Linked DNA regions of Astyanax mexicanus. The protein of the gene in region 1 binds, or shares a complex with, the protein of each later gene. Links are inferred from orthologs where the notes say so. Each region holds a gene or a part of one and is shown in the gene's direction. Other genes may lie near its edges.

The links. The genes of interacting proteins can lie anywhere in the genome.
Region 2: nod2 (region 1) and map3k20a share a complex: the UniProt entries of both Homo sapiens proteins name them as parts of the signaling complex. The link is inferred for Astyanax mexicanus from reciprocal best matches to the Homo sapiens genes NOD2 and MAP3K20.

What each region holds. Positions count from the first base shown.
Region 1 is NC_064430.1:11,846,983-11,857,302, reverse strand, and holds the start of nod2 (nucleotide-binding oligomerization domain-containing protein 2), read left to right. Parts: upstream 1-6,059; 5' UTR 6,060-6,146; exon of another isoform or gene 6,147-6,270; 5' UTR 6,271-6,458; intron 6,459-8,346; 5' UTR 8,347-8,368; coding exon 8,369-8,854; intron 8,855-9,707; coding exon 9,708-9,831; intron 9,832-10,320. UniProt on the Homo sapiens protein: Pattern recognition receptor (PRR) that detects bacterial peptidoglycan fragments and other danger signals and plays an important role in gastrointestinal immunity.
Region 2 is NC_064418.1:31,275,334-31,285,819, forward strand, and holds the start of map3k20a (mitogen-activated protein kinase kinase kinase 20), read left to right. Parts: upstream 1-5,603; 5' UTR 5,604-5,612; coding exon 5,613-5,831; intron 5,832-10,486. Other genes in the region: rapgef4a (rap guanine nucleotide exchange factor 4), read left to right, coding at 832-896, 984-1,038, 1,303-1,430. UniProt on the Homo sapiens protein: Stress-activated component of a protein kinase signal transduction cascade that promotes programmed cell death in response to various stress, such as ribosomal stress, osmotic shock and ionizing radiation.

The sequences.
Region 1 (10,320 bases):
CTATAGCCTGGGACAAATGAAAAGGTGGGAGAAGCAGAGGGATGAAGCTAGATAGAGCAAACATGAAGAAGAACTGGAACTGGATATCATGTAAAACGTCCACATTGGAAAAAAGTAAGGCACTGAGGGAAATGCATATAAAATATTTCAGTATAACACCAAGGTATTTTTTTACATTGTTGTCTGGTAAACTTCATTTCATCCCTGCGTTAGCGCCATATCAAGGCATTTGGGGGCCCAAGCAATGGTTCAAATCTTGTTGATGTAGCTTGCCATCAACTACCGAAGCCCCGAGAGAACACAATTGGCCTTGCTCTCTCTCTGGGTGGGTAGATGGCGCTCTCTCCCCATATCCCCCCAACAAAGGGTGATGTTGCTCAGCACTAAGCATGTGTCTGTGAGCTGATGTATAAGAATCGAGTCGCTGCACTTTCCTTCGAGTGCGCTGTAATGCTATGTGGTAATGCTGCATCAGCAGCAGTTCGAAAAGAGGCAGTGGGTAACTTCACATGTATCGGAGGAGGCATGTGTTAGTCTTCACCCTCCTGGTGTAGGGGCATCACTTGTGATAGGGGGAGTCCTAATGAGTGGGTTGGGTCATTGGCTGTGTAAATTGGGGAGCAAATGGGAAAAACAATGACTGCTGAAGTTTCCTATTTTGCCGACTGCAGGAATCACGAACCTGTCTGGCTGGCTACAGTCAACCAGTATGAGTATCAACTAGTATGAGGCTCCCCCTTGAAGAGGATTCCAGTGTGAATAACAGTGCTGTTATATTTTCATGCACTGATCATTACAGAATGTAAGGGATGCTCACACAGTTTGTCGTCACATTAAATTCATAACCAGTCGTTGTCTGGGGACCCCAGGCAAGCTCAGGGGCTCCAGTCAATTGATTGGTTTGCTTACCTTGTTCCAAAGCGCCTGCCTGTAACACATTTAAGAAATTGTGTTATTTTAGGTTCGATTTTGTCCCATTCTTCTTCCTATAAACACAACCGTAAAGTGTGCAACATTATGGCATTGTCGTTGCAGTGTTTTGATTCAAAATCCTCAAGACATTCTTTATTGAGGACAGGACCCGCCAAGACTGTTGGCAAGCCAATGCAAAAGACCACTCCCTTCTCTTCTGCAGCCAAGCATTTGTAATGTCTGCAGCACTTGGGTTTGCAATGTCTTGCTAAAAATGCATATGTGGTCTTGAAGGCAACATATGAGATATGAGAAAAAATAAAATAAAGCTTTATTGTCCATTAAATTTACATTGAATTGAAAATTGTCTTTGGCAGACAAATACATGAAATTACAGAAACAAAGTAAAAAAAAAAAAAAAAAAAAAAAACTAAATACAAAACATAAAAATACAAACAGATTTTGAATTATGTGGGGAAATTGTGTATTACCTCCTTATTCAGAATAGCCACAGCAGATGCAAATTACTTTTTGTACCGATTCTTCTTGGCTAGTGAAACTAGCTAGTGAAACTAGCTAAGATGAAACTTTAGTCTCCTGCCTGATGGGACCCACTGAAATGATGAATAAAGGCAAAAAAAGGCCTTTTTTCATTATGGATCGACTGTATAGATTTTGTAGTGACAACTGGCTTAGATATACAACTTAAGGGCTGTAAGATGGCACAATTAAGATTTATTAATAATGCTCATATGTCAAGCTGTACAATGCCCATGGCTCAAGTTTTTGTTAGATTTACTGGAAAGACAAAGGAGACATGCTTGTACTTATGTGTTCATGTATATTATACAGAACTCTAGTTATACTGTAAGATTTAATGTGCCCCAGGAGAAGCTGGTGGTAGAGTATAGCTACAACAATGTGCTGCTTTATAGGAAGAGCTTCAAGCAGCTGTTTTAAGCAGGTCTGTGAAGATAATTATTTCAGTTCTGGGTAGGCGGATAAGAAGAAATAGTCTCAGATCAGAGATACCCACACATATATATATACACAGGTCCAGCAAACACTTCATTACATTAAAAAAAAAAAAAAAAACACTTGTTAAAAATCTAGCTTCTGAAGATTTTGACCTTGCACCTTGCTCCAACTAATTAACAGCTGCAGAAGTCATTGTGTTTGGTTGGAGGGAGTAGGTCTAACACACACTGGAACTTCAGTGAGGTGCTGTAAGGTGAGAGGTGAGGGTTTTATTTTTGGGATCTTATAATTTCATGTTTTTTTTCACAATCCAACTCATTAATGTAGTTTTATTTTATTTTTAAAACGATAAATAATACATACATATGTGTGTCACATAATTTAGCATCAACTGCTGTAATTGTACTTATTGCGTTGTACTAATGAAATTCATTCATTTTCAATGGGCATATGTGCAGCTAAAATGGGGAACCTAGTGCATCCCAAATTTATCAACATTTATCCAAATCTGAGGTCCTATTCTATGCACTTAAAAAAATTATCTTGATTGTAATTCAAGTGATTAATAATAATAATAATAATAATAATAATAATACAATAATATGTGTATCAAAATAATAATAATAAATAAATAATAAATAAAAATAATAAAGAACCACAAACATGCTCACGGTTTCTTCCAACAAGATCCAAAAAGATGAAGTCTCTCATTGTGACAGTATGAGAATAAGATTAAGATTAAGACTCATGTCAGCTGTTAAATAAATATTTTGTGTAATAATAGCTATAGTTTTTTTTGTATTTTTTTGGTTACAATTTAGATAAAAATATCGAAAAAATTGTATTGTTTGGGTATCAGAACCAAATTCATCATATCGGTAGCTTTTAAAAGAATACCCAGCCCTAGCTATAAGAGATAGATAGAGAGATAGATAGATACTTTATTAATCCCAGAGGGAAATTCTGCACATCCAGTAGCAGCAGGTATACATAGTACACAGGTGTTACAAAAAAGGATAAGATAGAATGGTACAGATAAAAATACAATAAAAAACAAGTATAAAAGTAGAGTTTTTTGTGTCTGTGTAATGGAGGTAGTGCAGTAAAATAACTGCACTGTAGACAGGGTAAAATAACAATGTGCACCAGTTGCTGTGCATATTGAAAAGATGATTGATGCGCTCACATTACAGACAGTGCAAGTACGCAATTACGCACCTATTTAATAATTTAGCAGTGCAAATTTGTAAAGACAATAAATAAACTAGTAGTGCAGAATATGGAAAAACTATAAAGTATAATGTTCTATTCAAATGTAAATTAAACATTTGGGATGCACTAAGCTCCCTGTTTCAGCAGCATATATACCCAATTAAAAAATAAAAATGTAAATGCATTTTAGTACAATTAAAGAAGTTTAGTTGGGACATTTCTTTCGAGTTCTTTTGATTCTCTGCACAGATCTTCTACATACATCTTTTTCTATGGTGTTGTCCAGTCAGTGCAGTAAATATTGTACATTTTTGCATCTGAAATTTATCTGCACACAGTTTTCCTTTTTTATAAAACAGGCTCTCAGTGGTATGTCAAATTTCTTGTCATGGGCTCAAATATTAATTGGCAAATAGAAGCAACTCACAATTCTAAAGGTAAAATACTGATGCTTTAAAAAAAAGGTTAGCTGTATTTTAAGAAATACGTTTTAATTTAGTAATAAATGTAGATGCAGTCAGTCAGGATGGCTTTGCCAAAAGCATTAAATAACAAAGCATCACACTGAGGGATCTCTCTGAGACAATGTCTTCTTTACACAGTGTGAGTGCTCCATCTAGTGTTCAAAACTTGACCTTGCAGTTAAATCCACTGTACTCCAACTCCAATTCCACATTCTAATCCTTCCAAAATATACTTTTTCCCACAGAGTAATGGAACAGCATTTCAACTACATAAAAAATATATAATATATGCTCCTGTTAATGAATGTGTTTAGCTGCTTTAGGTTGTACCCAATTCTGACACAGTAGAGCAAATGCACATTCACAGCTTGACAAGTCCCTGTAGAGAAGCACTGTCAATAGAACAGAATAAAATAAGACTCTCTGGAGTAGATAAACAAATACTAGCTTTGGCCTGTTGGGGCTAGAGATTTTGTCCTGTTTGGGATTACAATTCCTAGTTTTATGTTGTAAGTGTTTGTGACAGATATTGTGTTAACCTTAACATGTACAGTAAGTGCAATTATGTATGTTTTAGATAAGTTAAAGAAAATAAGTTACTGCATGGATAAGTTCATTGTAGTTTTGTTCTGTATTTTTGTGATTGTTAGATTGTTTTCAAATTTATTGTGATTAGTTTGGTGATTTCATTACACCTACTGTCATGATGTGAGTGATGTGAGACAGAGATGATGCCTTAAATAACCCCATCTCCATCAGACTAGTGTTAATAAAGTCAAATGGGAACCCTGTGAAATAGGATAGCTAGTTGAGGCTACAGTTGTGAAAGTTAAAGAACATTGTAGAAGTAATGAATCTGTTTAATAGGAAAGTCTAACTAATGAAGCAATATATTTTGCATTCCTTGCTTTACGAAACCTTTTCCAAAACTTTACTTGTGTTAAAACTGCAGTCAGTTTTTCCATATTTTCCACACTGACCCATTGACCCATAGTTACATTATGATGTTGTGTCATAGATGAACTCCCATGATGCTTCAGGGTTGGCATTGATTTATATTTAGTTAAGAAGATACAATTTATTGTGATTGATTTGGTGATTTTGGCATTTTTATTTTTTATTTTGAGGACCTGCCATCATAATGTCCACTAGGCAAAGATGATACATTAAACAGCCCCGCTTCCCTTAAGGTTTTGTGAACCAAGTAAAGTGAAATAGGAACTATGAAAAAACAGTTAGTTAAGTGAACTAGTTGTAGTAGTAGATCTGTCAAAGCTAAATATTTTCTCTTTCTTAGTTTCTGAATTGTTCCTGTCAGGAACTAGTAACTGTTTTCTTGATTCGGTATCTGAACTTCCAAATGAGTTGGAAGTAAGGCATGCATGATTAATATGAGTCAGAGAGATTAATTCTGTGGGAACAGGAGTGACTAGAATAAAGCACTAAAGGTTGTTATAAGGTCTGTTTTTCCCGGACAGGAATTAAGCCTAGTCATACCCTATGTCATTCGAAAATACTCTATAGCCCAAGACTAGGCTCAGTCCCTGACTGGGAAACTGCTCTACAATGTTACAATTCCTCTTAGTCTTTGTGACAGTTTTGAGAAATAGTCTTCTGAATGAATCATTCAGAACTGGGTATTTCCTTGACTATTAAGAAAGACAGGAACAGTGACGGTGAATTAAGTCACGTGAAGACGTATTAATAGGGCAGACTAAGAGAATAATATCTTTTTGATCAATAAGGAAAGTTAAAATAGATATAGATACGGCATTGTAGTACTTAAGTACAGTAGTGAAGTAAAAATAATACTCTAGTAGATACAGATACAGCATTTTAGTACTTAAGTACAATAGTAAAGCAAAAATAATACTCCGGTAGATATAGATACAACATTTTAGTACTTAGATAAAGTAGTAAAGTACAAATAAAACTTTAGTAGATACAGATACAGCATTTTAGTATTTAAGTATAGTAGTGAAGTAAAAATAATACTTCATTAGATACATATGCAGAATTTTAGTACTTAAGTACAGTAGCGAAGTAAAAATAATGCTCCAGTAGATACAGATACAGCATTATAGTACTTAAGTACAGTAGTGAAGTCAAAATAATTATCCAGTAGATACAGATACAGCATTTTAGTACTTAAGTACCATAGTGAAGTAAAAATAATACTGCAGTAGATACAGCATTTTAGTACTTAAGTACAGTAGTGAAGTAAAAATAATACCCCAGTAGATACAGATACAGCTTTTAAGTACTTAAGTACAGTACTAAAGTAAAAATAATACACCAGTAGATACAGATACAGCATTTTAGTACTAAAGTACAGTAGTGAAGTAAAAATAATACTCCAGTAGATACAGATACAGCATTTTAGTATTTAAGTACAGTAGTGAAGTAGTTCTGTCTGTTACTATAGGTTACATCTCTGGATATCAGGGAAGCAGAACATTGTAAACACTGGTCAAGTAGGTCCAGCCTCATCCTTTCCTCACACTAAACTACACACTTCCAGTTTTACTTTCAGTTCATCACACAGACTGATACAGACTGCACCCAGCAGCCGTTCTTACCGTAAGTATACAGTATACACGTTTTAGGCAGGGTTTAAGTTGTTTGTGGTGTAGTGTAAATGTTGAAACTGTGAGAGACAAAAAAGGGGGTCGGTAACAAAAACTACTTACACTTTTACGCTCAGGAATGAGGAAGGAGCTGGGAGAATTTCCCTTTTTCTCTCGAGAACAAACAGAAGTTCGCCTAAAGGGGATTATCTGACAGTATCCACCGCCGTGAACATGACAGGCAACACGGAAAAGTCACCTCAGGACAGCTTCATGAGCTTTCTATGAGCAGGACAGGCTCTCTAAACACTCAACTCAACTTAAGGTAGGCTGTTTATACTGTATTGCTGTGTCTGAAACGCAAAAATGATTACTTGTTGCCTACACCGTCTCATTATGAAGAAGTTAGTAAAAATCACTGTATCCAACTCAAAATAAAAAACGCAGCTGGCTGTTTTGTTATTAGCTATTAGCTATTACATTTTAGCCCAATAAAACAGAAGCTAAATTGCTAAACTTCGACTCATAACACATATCTGGCTGCCTTTCTTGCGTTTCAGACGTTTAGACTGGATTAAATGTAGCTAAATTGGATAATTTACCAAACTTGCCAGTGTTGGATGAACACTCAACGTGTTACATTTAACAGTTAATGAATTAAGTTTAAAAATTATTCAATACTTATTAGCCACGTGCTTCTCTTTGCACTGTAAAAAAGGGCAGACTTTTCTCAAGTCATTTGACATTTTACAGTATTTCCCCTACAAACAAATATCTGAAAAAAAAAACATTAAAATGACAAGAATAGACTTATGTAAAAAAAAATGCTTTTTCAACAGTTCATAGCTGTTTCCTGTATTTTACATTTTCTTCCTTTAAAAAAAAAACAGACACGTACTTTTTTATTTCAAAGGTTTCTTACAGTGGAGTGTTCCCATGATGCTTCGGGGTTTGTGTGGGGTTTAACGTTATAAGAGACGTTTTTGTGAGGTCGGCTGGATGTTTCTAGGAAGTTTAATAATTAGATTTAGATTTACAGCATTAACTGACACTCTTATCCAGAGTGACTTACAATGTTATTTCAATTACAAGGTTCAATTACAAGGTTATTTATTCACAGCCATGATGGAAATTAACTGCTTCATTCATTCATATTGTGATTCTGAGATAAAAAAAATTTAACTTACTAGTGTCTCAAAAAAAAAAAAAAGAATAGAATATATATTAAAAGTAACTTTATTGGTTTGGAGAGCCATATCTGCTGGTGTTGGTCCAGTCCAACTTTTCCATGATATTCTAATTTTTTGAGATGCATTAGAATATTACAAAATCTTCTATTGGAGAGGATAAAATACTCCTAAATACCATTTATGGATTTATTGGATGAAGTGACATTATACATACCATTATTTTGGTCTTAAATGTGTAAAGCTATTGCTTCAAAATTTCTCCTAAGAGCTAACATGGCAAAACCATGTTGGTCATACTTGTGTAAAATCCTGTAATATTACTCCACCTTCTTAGTCCACACAGAAATGTCTTACCAATGTCTTAGTCTTACAGAAATGGTCATCTCCCAGGTTGGTTTAAATCAATCAAAATTTCCTTTGTAAATGTAATACTTGCCCCCCAATTTGACTTAATAAAGTTACTGGTTCATTACTCCATGTGGTGGCGCTATCAGAGGGACCAGTAATTCTGCAATTAATAATATTGGTTAAATTCTGTGAAACTGACACCAATAAATCCATAATTCCTGGTATTTATTTCTTAAGGAGTATTCTTTCATCTTCAGTAGAAGATTCTCTTGTCATGTATCGAGTTGCTTAGAATCACAGTATCATGATATCATTGTTATTGTTGGTAATGTATTGTGAGATGCCTGTAATTTCCACTACTAATGATGAATGCATCTTTATTTAAAATAACAAATAATAAGCTGATTTAAAAACTACTGGCTGAGAATGCTTTATGTTTGTCTAGTGGGAGGGGTTTCCAGTTTGGGAGCAGCCTAGCCTCTTGTTTTTATTTCGATTTTGTAACAAAAGGTGATCCTGTATAGGCTTGTAGATCTTTAACTGACTGACGTGAATCCAGCAATCTGGACACTTTTACATCTAGTGAAGATCGAAGAAAAAAATTTGCAGCAGGTTGTGAAAGTAATATTTTGTCAGGTTAAATTGTATTTTTTTAATATTTTTTTTACACTACAGATGACCAGATGATACCAGAGATATGTCTGGACAGCAGCTGGTCCTGAGGCAGAGAACGGAGCTTCTGGGAGCTCTATGCTGTGGGGGCACGGCTGAACCCCTGGACTGTGTGCTGGATCTTCTGCTGTCTTGGGGTGTAATTGTGTGGGAAGACTACCTAAGTGTGCGGGAACCAGCCAAACCCCTCTGCTCCAGTGCCAGAGAACTGCTGGACTTGGTGTACAACAAAGGCGAGGAGTCCTGTCTCCTTCTACTGTCAGCGTTTAAGCAAGTTTTACCCGACGCTCAGAAAGCCGGACTCTGCTTTGGTAAAAGTTTTGCTGCAGGAAAGGATGCTAAGAGGACCTCCACTAATGCCAGTCAGACTTTGATGACTGATAGACCAGCACTGGTGAGGAAAATACGGGATCATATTGATGGAGTGCTGGAAGCGCTGGTAAACGCTGGCTGCTTTACTTCAAAAGACTGTGATGAGGTGATGTTACCTGTTTACACACCTTCACAAAAGGTAAGGAACACATATAAGGGTTAGAATAGTGTTCAGAATACATCTGTTATTGGGATGCATACAGGCCCGTTGCAACAAGGCAAGCAAACCAGTCAATTTCCTAGGACCCTGAGCTGGCCTGGAGCCCCCAGACAACGACTGGTTATGAACTGAATGCCCCTTTAAACTTTGTGATGGTCAGTGCCGGACAGTACAGCACCATTTTGCTTTAGGCCCCCAAATGCTTTGTAACAACTCCAGATGCACAGATTATTTGGAAACCAAAAGTCATATTTTGCTTTGTTGGCATGTCTGCTGGGATGTTAAACATTGTTTTGTGTTGAAACAATATTTTTAATCGTAGATTTTTTTTGTGTTTGCTTTTTGACAAAAACATGTTTAGGCTATTTTATTTATTCATTGATGAAATTTGGCTAAATTAATGTTACCTGGGAAATCGTTTCGATTTTGGTCCGACAATTTTATAGAGTACCTTATATACCCACATTATATTATGTATATTACTAAGAAATAAACACAGTATTTACAGATAACAAATTTGGTATTTAGGATCATATAGTTTATCAGATACAACATATAAAAAACTATGAATATGAAGAAATAAGAATAGGCCTGATGATGAACCATGTGTATGTTTTAAAACTGAAAAAAACTGACAGCTATTCACAGAACAGCAATACCTTGTTTATTACATCATTAGGCCCATCTGACTAAACAGTTCTGTCTCTAAGTCAAGAACCTATAATCAATGTAGAATTATAATAGTTGGATTTTTATTTGGAGCTATCTAAGCAGTTAGCAGGCTGGTCAATGCAGATGAAAGATGGTCTAAGAATTTGTTTTCCTTGTGTAGGTTAGGAGGCTACTGGATCAAGTGAGATTTAGAGGGGAGGAAGCAGCCAGCATCTTATTGCAGTATCTGCGGCTGGCAGAAGTTGTGTCACAGCCTGTAAAAGAGGAAAAGCAACTCACTGCTGGTACGCATGTCTTTTTTACTCTTTTGTGAAATTTGACTTCATCCATTATGATTGATTATACACAATTACACAATGTGATTTTATGTGAAAAATGTACAAACAGTAAATTTTGTGCTTTTAGTCAGTACATTTGTGTTTCCCTTTTTTAACACAACTTTTAGTATAACAGTTTAGTTAGTATATTTAAAGGAGAACTCCGGTGTGAAATTGACTTGGTGACTTGGGTGTAGTTTTTGTTTAGTCCTTGTTGAACAGCCCACTTCTGTTCATCGCAGCTTTCTGAGATGCAGCAATTTTATTCCGTTTGTCCAAACACCCTTAAGACAGGGTGATAAGGGGCATGTTCTTGCCAATGCAGAAACAGTGCAGGCTTTTTACATCGTTATGCAGGCTCAACATCTCATCGGTAGATTTCGGAGAGCCCTGACATTTAAAACGAGGCACTAAGAACTTTAAAAGTGCACAAGAAGTTTATTAAAGGGCATTGTT
Region 2 (10,486 bases), on another chromosome or scaffold:
TGAAATGGATCAAACGTAATTCTTGAAAACAACAGTTCAGGACACATAAATCACAGATAAATCCCCCAATCCCATAAGGTTTAATCATTTACTGATTAAAGTTACTTTTAAAGTAATTTAAACACTGAACACAGCCACTCATCTGCAGAGACTCTGATGTCTGAGGGGGGAGCAGAGTTATATAAGTGTAAGGTGTAGGAGTCCCATATAGACATGGGTTAGATGTAAAAAGAAGAAATCTTCAAGTAAATCAACCTCAGAACGAGATAGTTCCCTGTTAACTTTTAATGTAGAACAGAACGAAAGAAAAAAAATAGCACAAGAAAGATGCAATTGCTCCACTAGCCTGCTACAGATTTTCAAAATAAAGATCACAAATACAAACAAAGTAGTAATAAATGATATTTTCAAATGAAAGCTAAATTTAATGTTTCACATTTGTCTCTCTTTTCTTTTTTGCTGATCTGATCTGTGACTCATAAAATGTGATCCATTCTGAACCATGAGTTTTGTAATATGTTTAACCACAAATGGACATATAAAGCATACAGCTCTGGAACAAAATAAGAGACTAGGTAAAATGACAAGTTTCTTTGATTTTACCAAATTGAAAACCTCTGGAATATAAAGAGGAGGATGGATAATCACAAGCCATCAAACCAAGCTGAACTGCTTTACTTTTTTTTACTCAAACATATACGTATAAATAGCAAAATCCGAGAAACTGAGAGGTGGTCTCTTATTTTTTTCCAGAGCTGTATTACATTCTACACACAAAACTTGTTGTTTTACAAACATTAAATGCTTAATGCCTTTTTATTATTTCATCAGATATGACTTTTACTCATGAAGGCAACAAGACGTTCATCGACAGTTTGGTCAATTTTGAGAAAATGGTAAGTTTATCTGTTTATAGAATAGTTCAATGTGTGTCATATTAATAAAGAAATGTTATTAATGTATATGTATTTTAATGCTTACAGCGAATGATTGCCAACACAGTGAGAATAATGAGATACTGCAGAAGCCAGCCATTCAGTAAGTCCAAGACCTGCATACGTAAATTCCTGTTTTAGTTTTCAGCATTACCTTATTTTGATGTGCTGTAAATAGTATGTGACAGAAATTAGGTGACCACTGTGCTTCCTGCTTACACATGGTGCTTTTGTAATTTGACACTTTCAGGTCAATTGGGTAATACTGTGGCCTGGAAATCCCAAACTGTGTAGTGACTTTAGAGGTTTTAAAATAGAAAGATCATTCTTTTATTTTTCTCTCTTTCTTTCTCTCTCTCATTTAAAGCCCATGAAGCTCCACAGGCCACTAAGAATCACCAGGATGTTCGGAGCTACATTCGTCAGATTAGTGTGATTGACAACCAGCGTACCCTGTCCCAACTTTCTCACAAGCTGGAGCCCCGGAGGACCTGAGCTCTGCTCTACTAAAGAACTACAGTACCCATGCTGCTTCAGTACTGCCAATGAATAAGCTAGCGATGACAGCGTTCTTCCTCCCATCTTCACTGGGGACCTGGCATACCCTCATTGGAATTATTTATACCATTGCCAAAATACAGCTGAATTGTATTTTGATTGACTGAAGGATTCACGATAGAATACAATCTTTTGCAGTTTTTTGTACCTCTGTGTGCTTCACTTGCTATATTTTTCCTGACATGCTGAGATGTTGCCCCATAATTCCAGGTTTTGTTTTTGGATCCACCCAAAAGAACTGAAATCTGGTCATAGAAACATCTTTTAAGATTTGTTGGGATGTTTTGTGAGGAACTTTTTACAATTCTGAGGTTTTAAGAAGGAATCATTGCTCAAAAATCGCACCTAAAGACTGTGAAGAAGCTTCTTAAACTGCAGATGTTCTTCTGTTTAGTTTTTGTACATGACTTTCTGTTTTTGAATACTTGAGTTTTGTGGATGTTTTGCATCTGATGTAATAGTAAAAGTGTTTTATTTATTCACACCTCAGCATGAAATGACTCTAAACACTCCTCTGTGGGATCCTAAGCACATTTTACAAGCCTATAAGTGAATTGTGTGCAAATTTCTACTTATATACTGTACACATGGGTCAGCTATAACATTGAAACCACCTGCTAAATACTGTGTAGGTCTCCCTTGTGCCACCAAAAAGCTTTAACCTGTCAAAACATGGACTTATAAGAATACCCTGAAGGTGTTCTTTGTCATCTGTTATCAAAAAGTCTCACTGCCAGCTTTGCTAGCTTCCCTTATTCCTGTTGTGCATCTGATTGCCATAGCTTGCTTAGGAATGTGACCAGACCACCTTCTTTCATTGCTCCATGCTCTAGGTTTTGAAGCCTACTGGAGGTGCTTTTGGCAGGGAACAGGCATTGGCATGGGCATTCAGATAGACTCTGTGGCAACACAGGCCCACATGCAGCAAGATGCAGCAAGACGCAGTTCACTGTGTTCAGAAATGTACAAATCATCTGTGGGATCAAATCTAGCCCTAACTCCTCACATACATCCGAGGCCCTTGTTCAACAACATATATTGGACACTTGATGCCCAATATTTCCCATCCCTAACCAGATAATCAGTGTTATTTGTGTCATCTTTTAGTGGTTTTAATGTTATGGCTGATGTATGTGTGTATTGTATAGTGCAGCTTGTATGTGATAGCACAGTGGCCATATGTTTTTGTTATGTTTTGAGTCTGTTCTCCAGAACACATTGACATAAGTACATAAGTATTGGGACACTTCGTTCATCATGGTTTCTTCTGAAATCAAGTGTATTAAAAAATTGTTGAATAACTTTCTCTTCTGAAACATTGCTGTCAGGATTTGATTGCATTCAGCAACAAGATCATTAGTAAGGTAAAGATGTTGGATGGATACCCACCCACCTCATCCCCATCTCATTCATTCCTCCCCAACTTATCAATTCATCCCCAACTCATCATTACATCCCAACTCATCAACCCATTCCAAAAGTAATAGAGAGGCCACAGTTCCACCGCTCTACAGCCAGTGCTAGAGGAATCTGTGGCATTAGGTAGTGTCAGTAAGTACGTAGTTATCTGCCCCAGGGAGGTCTATTCAATTGGCAGTATTTCTCTACAAACTTTTGAAAAGCTATTTGGACATATAGTGTATCAGGAAAAGAATGTGCAGCCCTTTTTAAACCTCTGTTCAAGTTAGGGAACTAGAGGGAATTAGTGTTTCTGTTCCATGGCCAGCCATGTGTCACTGCACCATTTAGCATATTCTAAACAAGACAGACAAGTGAACCACCTAACCTGGAATCTTTCCAGCACTCAATTGACTTGCTGTAAGCAAGACTGCAGGCAAATGAGCAGGAACCAAATAAGGAAATATTACAGACCCTGCAGCACGGCCAGGGAAGATACCACAAGACTGCAAAAGTCTGAGTCACATACTTTGAGTAGTTATTTCCTGCAAAAGATGTTGCAAGAGTTGACCAAGCATCAACTATGTCAATTCTATTTGTTAATTTTCCCAATTACAGTACTTACAGTTCCCTGAAAGCTGTTCCAGATATGACTCACCAGTACAAACATAAATACCTGCACAATAAAAGTTATGTTCTGTAAAATGTTTCATTTTACATCTGCTGGAGTACAGAGACAAAACATCAAAAACATGCCACAGTTCAGTTACTACTGGACTAAATGTGTGTTATGTAAATATTTCAGCATAATTAAAAGAAGGCTTATTTGGTGATATGTACTTGTCCCTGCCATTTTTATTTCTATTTTTGTTATATTTAGTACAAATGTCTTAATTATGAAAACTGTTTTATAAGCATATCTGAATCCCAATATAGTAGTGCAGGGGTATCTAATTACTTTAGCATCCTGAAGGTCACAATTCACCCTTCAGCCAGTTTCTTCAGAGATTTTCAGGCTTTAAATTTATCCTTAAATACAGTCCCAAACATTCGATTACTAAATCGATTTCGATTTAGTCTTCAATAGATGTTCCTTGCTTTTTTCCTTTTAGGTGGCAAAGATACATTTCTTTTCTATTATATATTTTTGTTTTTGTTTTTGTTTGGGGCAAAAAATGGCTTGTGTTGTCACAAGCCTATTAATAGGCAAGATTATGAAAGCTTTTTCACATTACTCATGCAGTTAGCATAGCATATGATTATAGGCTGGTTGATGGCACTGCCACAGATCTCAGTAGCCATGTAGCATAGCATAGACTTATCACAAGAACAAATTATTATTTTTTTGTAGCTATTTCTGAGTCATACTGAAAATTATTGCTGTCTTCTTGGTGCTGTGTCTGGTTATCAATTGCTAAACTGGATTTGCTACCTGTTCCTTCCTTTTTAGTCAGCTGAGAGTTAATGACTTAAGGTTGTTGTAATTAACTATTGGCCTAAAACATGCAGGGCAGCAAAGTTGGATTAAAACAGACCAACCTACACTGCCTGGCCAAAAAAAAAGTCAATCAGTGCAAGATTTTGGTGAACAATTAATGCAATACTGGATCGAAATAAATCTTTTGACATTTTAAAAGCTTATTGAAACAATGCCACAGGGAATGCGTGCCGTAATCAAAGCTAAAAGATGTCCAACAAAATATTATGTGTGAGTGTGTAACCTTTTCTTTATTTTGGTGGCGATTGTTTTTTTGCCTAAATAGTGTATTTTGTTGTATATTAGTAAACAAATCTGAAAATGCACATATTTAACCATGCTACTAAGAAAAAATATATACATATAAATGTACATATATACAGTACTGTGCAAACGTTTTAGGCACCAAAGCAAATTACACTAATCCATTTATCTCAGCAATATGAGTGTATTTCCCTGAAAAAAACACCACATATGATTTGAACAGACGTAAATTAACATACAGTAAAAATTATGTTATATCCTGTGAGCCAAACTAAACAAACAAAGTGTAGTTCCAGATTTCTCCTGGATGCCCTCAGCCAGCATGTGGATATGTTCAGTTCTGTCAGCAGCTCAGCTGATTTACCATATTTACCAATTTACCAAACCAGTTTTTATGATGAGAACTAGGAATAACTCAGATGAGGAGAGATTAGATGATATTTTAAGAAAACCAGTGCTGTAAAAGCACTACGTTTTGTAAAATTGTTGGGTACCACTTTAAAATAAGACTATATTTATTTGCAACCTAATTAGTAACCATTATTAAACTAGTTGCAAACCATTTATAAACCCTTTATAAAGGTAGTCTTATTTTAAAGTGGTTCCAATTGTTGTTTGTATTTATTGTAATGCTAGTGTTTTACTGAGCTAATAAACACTTACTTCGCAGACAAGAAGCTTTTTATTCACTGAAATTCCCATAGGTGCCTAAAACATTTGCACAATAAATACTATATATATATATATAGTATAATAACAATTTTTACTCAAACATATATATACCTATAAATAGCAAAATCAGACAAACAGATTCAGAAACTGGAGCTTGTTTATGTAAAAAAAAAAAAACAAGAAAGGTTGTCCATGCTGAGTTTAAATTAATGAACATGACCAGCTCATAATAATTCAGCTGTGGTAAATAGTCGAGGCCTCGCGTGTCGTGCGCCTCGTGCTCACGGGGTGGCGCCGGTGTCGCGCGCATGGCGGGCTGTGTGGGAAGACTGTCTGCTGGTTGTAGTTGTTTGGCGGGTGGAGGTATGGGAGAAGTTACACTGCGAGCACGTGAATTCTCAGCGGAAAGGCGAGTGTGGAGTGAAGCAAGGTCCTGTGAGACTTTACCTTCAGCAGGGAGAGCAGCTCCAGCCTCGACTCAGAGCCGGCGGAAACACAAACAAGCTCGTGGAGAGGAACAGCAACCGGTATGCAGCCGTTTGAAGCATTTTATAGTTATAATGTTTTTTTTCTGTCGACAACAACGCAGTAATATTGAATTAAACATGGTCAGGGATCTGTTTCTGTCCCTGAGTAAAGAGAGCCGGATGCGGGAAGATGTCTGGACATGTTATAAAGTGGGGAGAGCGTTGATTTGTGTGGTGACTCAGCGGCAGTAGCCCTGACTGTGTTGGTGGGGGCAGATAGATAGAATAGATAGATTATAGAGCTGGAATTTATATAGCAGAGCGCCTACGTTTCAGGCGCGTGTGTGCATGCATGCTAGCTTGCTGTAGATCTATGGGGATTGGCCTAAAAGCCGGTAGCCGGTATTTAGCTAGCTTGATTGGGTTAATTTAGGGTTTGTTGTGGTTACTGATATGGAGAAGGGCTTCGCTGAATGCTGCTTCATTGTAACTTACATTAGAAAATGTGTTATTATAGAGTTATAACGAGTTTTTATATTTGTTATTCAGTATGTCTTTTTTTCTAAGCATTCCTTATTAGGGCCAGTATAGTTGTTTTAAGTATAGGGTTTTCAGAATGATGTTGGGAAACCTGTGGTACTCAGTCTGTAGGAGTGATGGAGGGATGCCTGTAGTGTCTGTCATACCTAAACTACTCATGTTTCAGCCACATGTTGTAGCTTAGTGACTTCAGGGGCTGGGCTGACAGGGTGTATATATGAGGGTCATGTGTTATTTTGTTGATGGCTGTGGGAGTGTCACTCTGTTATATAGCTTCCTGGTCAGGTTTTCACACAGTTTTTGCTTCCTAGGCTATTAATGTACAGCGTGGCCTTTCTGCAGGCCACATGTGCTCTATGGAAAGCAGGAAAATAGGAGGAACTTTTTAACCGGTTCTTGAGCTTTTACTTTCCTTTCCACTGGCAGTCACATGACCCACTGGTGAGGTATGTATGTCACAGTTCATGTTACTGCTGAAATTCCGATGAATCGAGGTCATAAACTGTCACGCAAAAAAGATTCACATTTTGAAATAGGCCACAAGTAAGTGGGACACCTAATAAATGGTTTTATTCTGATATCAAATGTATTTATCCTGGAGTTTCAGGAGGTTACCCTGCTTTTTCTGGAATGGGAAGTGTCTCCACTGTCCAGTGTGGGCTTGCTGTGAGAATTTGATTGCATTTAGACATAGGAGCAGAGTAGGGATGCACTGATTTGGGAATTCTTGGCCAATGCCAATATCCAATATCACACATGTAGCTATATAAAGCTCTGAAAAAAAAAGAGACCACTTCAGTTTCTAAATCAGTTTCCCTGATTTTGCTATTTATAGGTATATGTTTGAGTAAAATGAACATTGTTGTTTTATTCTATACACTACAGACAACATTTCTCCCGAATTCCAAATAAAATATTGTCATTTTGGGGCATTTATTTGCAGAAAATGAGAAATGTCTAAAATAGCAAAAAAAGATGTAGAGCTTTAATACCTCAAATAATGCAAAGAAAACAAGTTCATATTTATAAAGAGATCAGAAATCAATATTGGTGGAATAACCCTGGTTTTTAATCACAGTTTTCATGGCATCTCCACCAGTCCTACACACTGCTTTTGGATAACTTTTTGGTGCAAAAATTCAAGTCGTTCAGCTTGGTTTAATGGCTGGATGTGGCACAACTATTACAGAAAGTACAGTTCTGCTACTCCACAGCCTGATGCTGGGCCTTTATTTCCATCCAGCCCACACCTGGCATTTGACATGGTGTCAATAGGTTTATATTTTTCTGCTTTATAGACAAGCTGTGTATGAAGCAGCTAGATTAATTTCAGTATGTTTTAACATATAGTGTATGACATTAATTAAATATATTTTTTTAAATTTAAAGTTAAGATGTTTTTCATTAATGTGCTGTTTTGGAGATTAGGAGGATATTTTTGTGTAAATTGTAGAATTGTTCACTTATATTAGAACAAATATGTAAATAAGAATTAAAATACACAAATACCATTATTACTCAGAGTATTGGTATTACATCACTGTGGTCATTAGAACATTTCCAGCTCTTGTCATGTTAGCCTGGTGTTGTTTATAGGTGTTATCAACGCCTGGTTTGTTAAATTAGTGCTTAATAATATTAAAAGGTGAGCTGGTAATAGAATTTAACGAATTCGTATGCTGGGTAGGTGTCCAGAAGAAAACTGAAATATTTATTATACGTTATTTATGTTTAGGTCCCTTTGTTCTAATGTAATCTGGCGCTTTTACTGAGATAAAGGAATTTATATTAGGTGTATAGGTATTCCAGACTTTGTTGAGAGTTGTTTTGAATGTACAAAGGTTGGTATTGGATCTGAGCATTGCTAAGCTGCTTATTAGTGATGGTGTGCTGGTTGTGATGTGGAATAGCAGTAGAAGCATCAGCAGAAGGCCCGCACTGCTCTGCTCTCCCCTCAGGCTGTGTAGTGGCTGCGGCGCGCGCTAAATATAGCGCTGAGAGCGCGCAGCGGCGCGAGCCATCGGCGCCCCTCTGAGCAAGAATGGAGCGGAGCGCAGTCAGCGCCTCTAAAAGCCTTAATTACACCGAGCACACTGCACAGACACCAGCACACCGAGAACAAGCATTTACTGTAATACACGGATTACTGCTCTTTCTCCCTCTTCTCTCTCTCTCTTTCTCTCTCTCGCCCTCTACTCTCTCTCTCTCCCTCACTCTCTTCCTCTATTCTCTCTCTCTTTCTCTCTCTCTCTCTCTCTCTCTCTCACTCTCTTATCCCTGTCCTCTCTCACCCTCTCATCCTCTCTTTCCTTGTCCTCTTGGTCACTTCTCTCTCTCTTACTCCCCACCCTCTCTCTCTGTGCCCTCTCTCTCTCCTTCTTTCCCCTCCATGTCTGCTGCATCTTTTAACAAGATGCATTTAAATGTTGTAAGCCACACAATAAAAGGATGTGTTTTTTTCTTATTGTATGCTCCATAACTTGATGGAGATTTTCTCATCCACCACTGTCCCATTATACACTATATTGTGATGTATCATTATCACACTGAGACGGCTAATCTGGCTCAGCAAGAGGAATGCTGTATGTTATCATTAAATGAGATTAGATATGGAGTAGTCTTTTTTAGGAATCACACTCGTGTGGACCATGTGAAAGACTTCATAGCTTTCACTCACCTGCTTCTACAGCTTACAGGTTATAGAGAAGTGACAGATGGACTGAACAACTCTACTTCTTGGTTAATGTTTGGATTTTATTACATGCAGATGTGGTTTCATTTAAAGTCATGCGGTAGGTCAGTGGTGTATAAAAGTTTGAGGACATTTTTGAATGTTCTATATTTCTGCATTAATTTAACTTAAAAGTTTATCGCATTTTTACACACATCCTAAAAGTAGATGGGGTATTTGGATCTTTAGGATTGTCAGATAAAATGAATGAATCAAAGTCACGTGTTTTAATTTGATGGGATGATCAGGTGTGAAGTTAATGATATTTCCAAATACGTCCACATTGCCAAGTCCAGACCTTAATACAATAGAAATGTTGTGTAAAGAGCTGAAGCAGGCAGTTCATGGGAAGAAATCCAATAACACAGAGCTGAAGGTGTTTTGTATGGAGGAATGGGTTAAAATTCCTTTAAGCTGTGCAGGACTAATCACCAGTTACCAGAAAGATTTAGTTATAGTTATTTCTGCACAACCGTATCATACCAGATACTAAATTTAAATGTTTGCATTTGTTTGCCTTGTAAGAAAATCTGATCAAGTTTTAGGTCACATTTTGTGCAAAATTTAAAAACAATTGTCTCTATATAGTATTCAAAAACTTAAAGAACCACTTAAGTCTAATGTGGAAGGTCTAGAATGTTTTTGAACAGTTTGTACTGGTGACAGTGGTCACTGATGGTCCATGCCGTGAGTGAGTATGTAAGGGGGCTCTGAATGCCAGGGATGCCTCGGGCCTTACGCAGGGCCTGCATGCAGGGTATTGGGTAAATCTGATTCATGCACAGGGAGGTTAGCGGGAAGTATGAGGAATACGCTGCACTGAAGCATGCTGGCATAGATGAGGAGGAATATCTTGCACATGCACACACCTACACAGACATACACAATTTTGGGCTGTGGCAATATGATATACATCACAATACAGGTAATAGGATTCAATATATTGCTATACATTGCAGTATATATTGAATTTATACAGTATATATGCAGACAATGTGTTAAAAAAAATTTATATATAAAAATTTTGGAAACACACTTTTATAATCTAACTAATCCTACCAGACAATTGGGAAGTGAAGACAAAGTATAACACTACCTAATGGTCTGGGTTTACACAAAATGAACGACTGTCTTGTACATTAATCTCTAAACTTAAAATCTGGGAATCTTTACAGTATTTCAAATCATATCTTGATACTTTGATTTGTCAATATTTTCTGAGCAAATATGCTCATTCAAGCTGCTGAGCAGTTTATACACATATATGCATACATTTAAAATCACACACATTCGCCTACATACACATGTTGTCACTTATACTTAGCCACTGACACAGCCTTGCCCGCACTTAGGCATGCAAACACACTCCCCCTCCCTCTGGCACACACATCCTCTCACTGTAGAGACAGCCAGAGATGACACCAGAGACAAAGATGTAACCCTG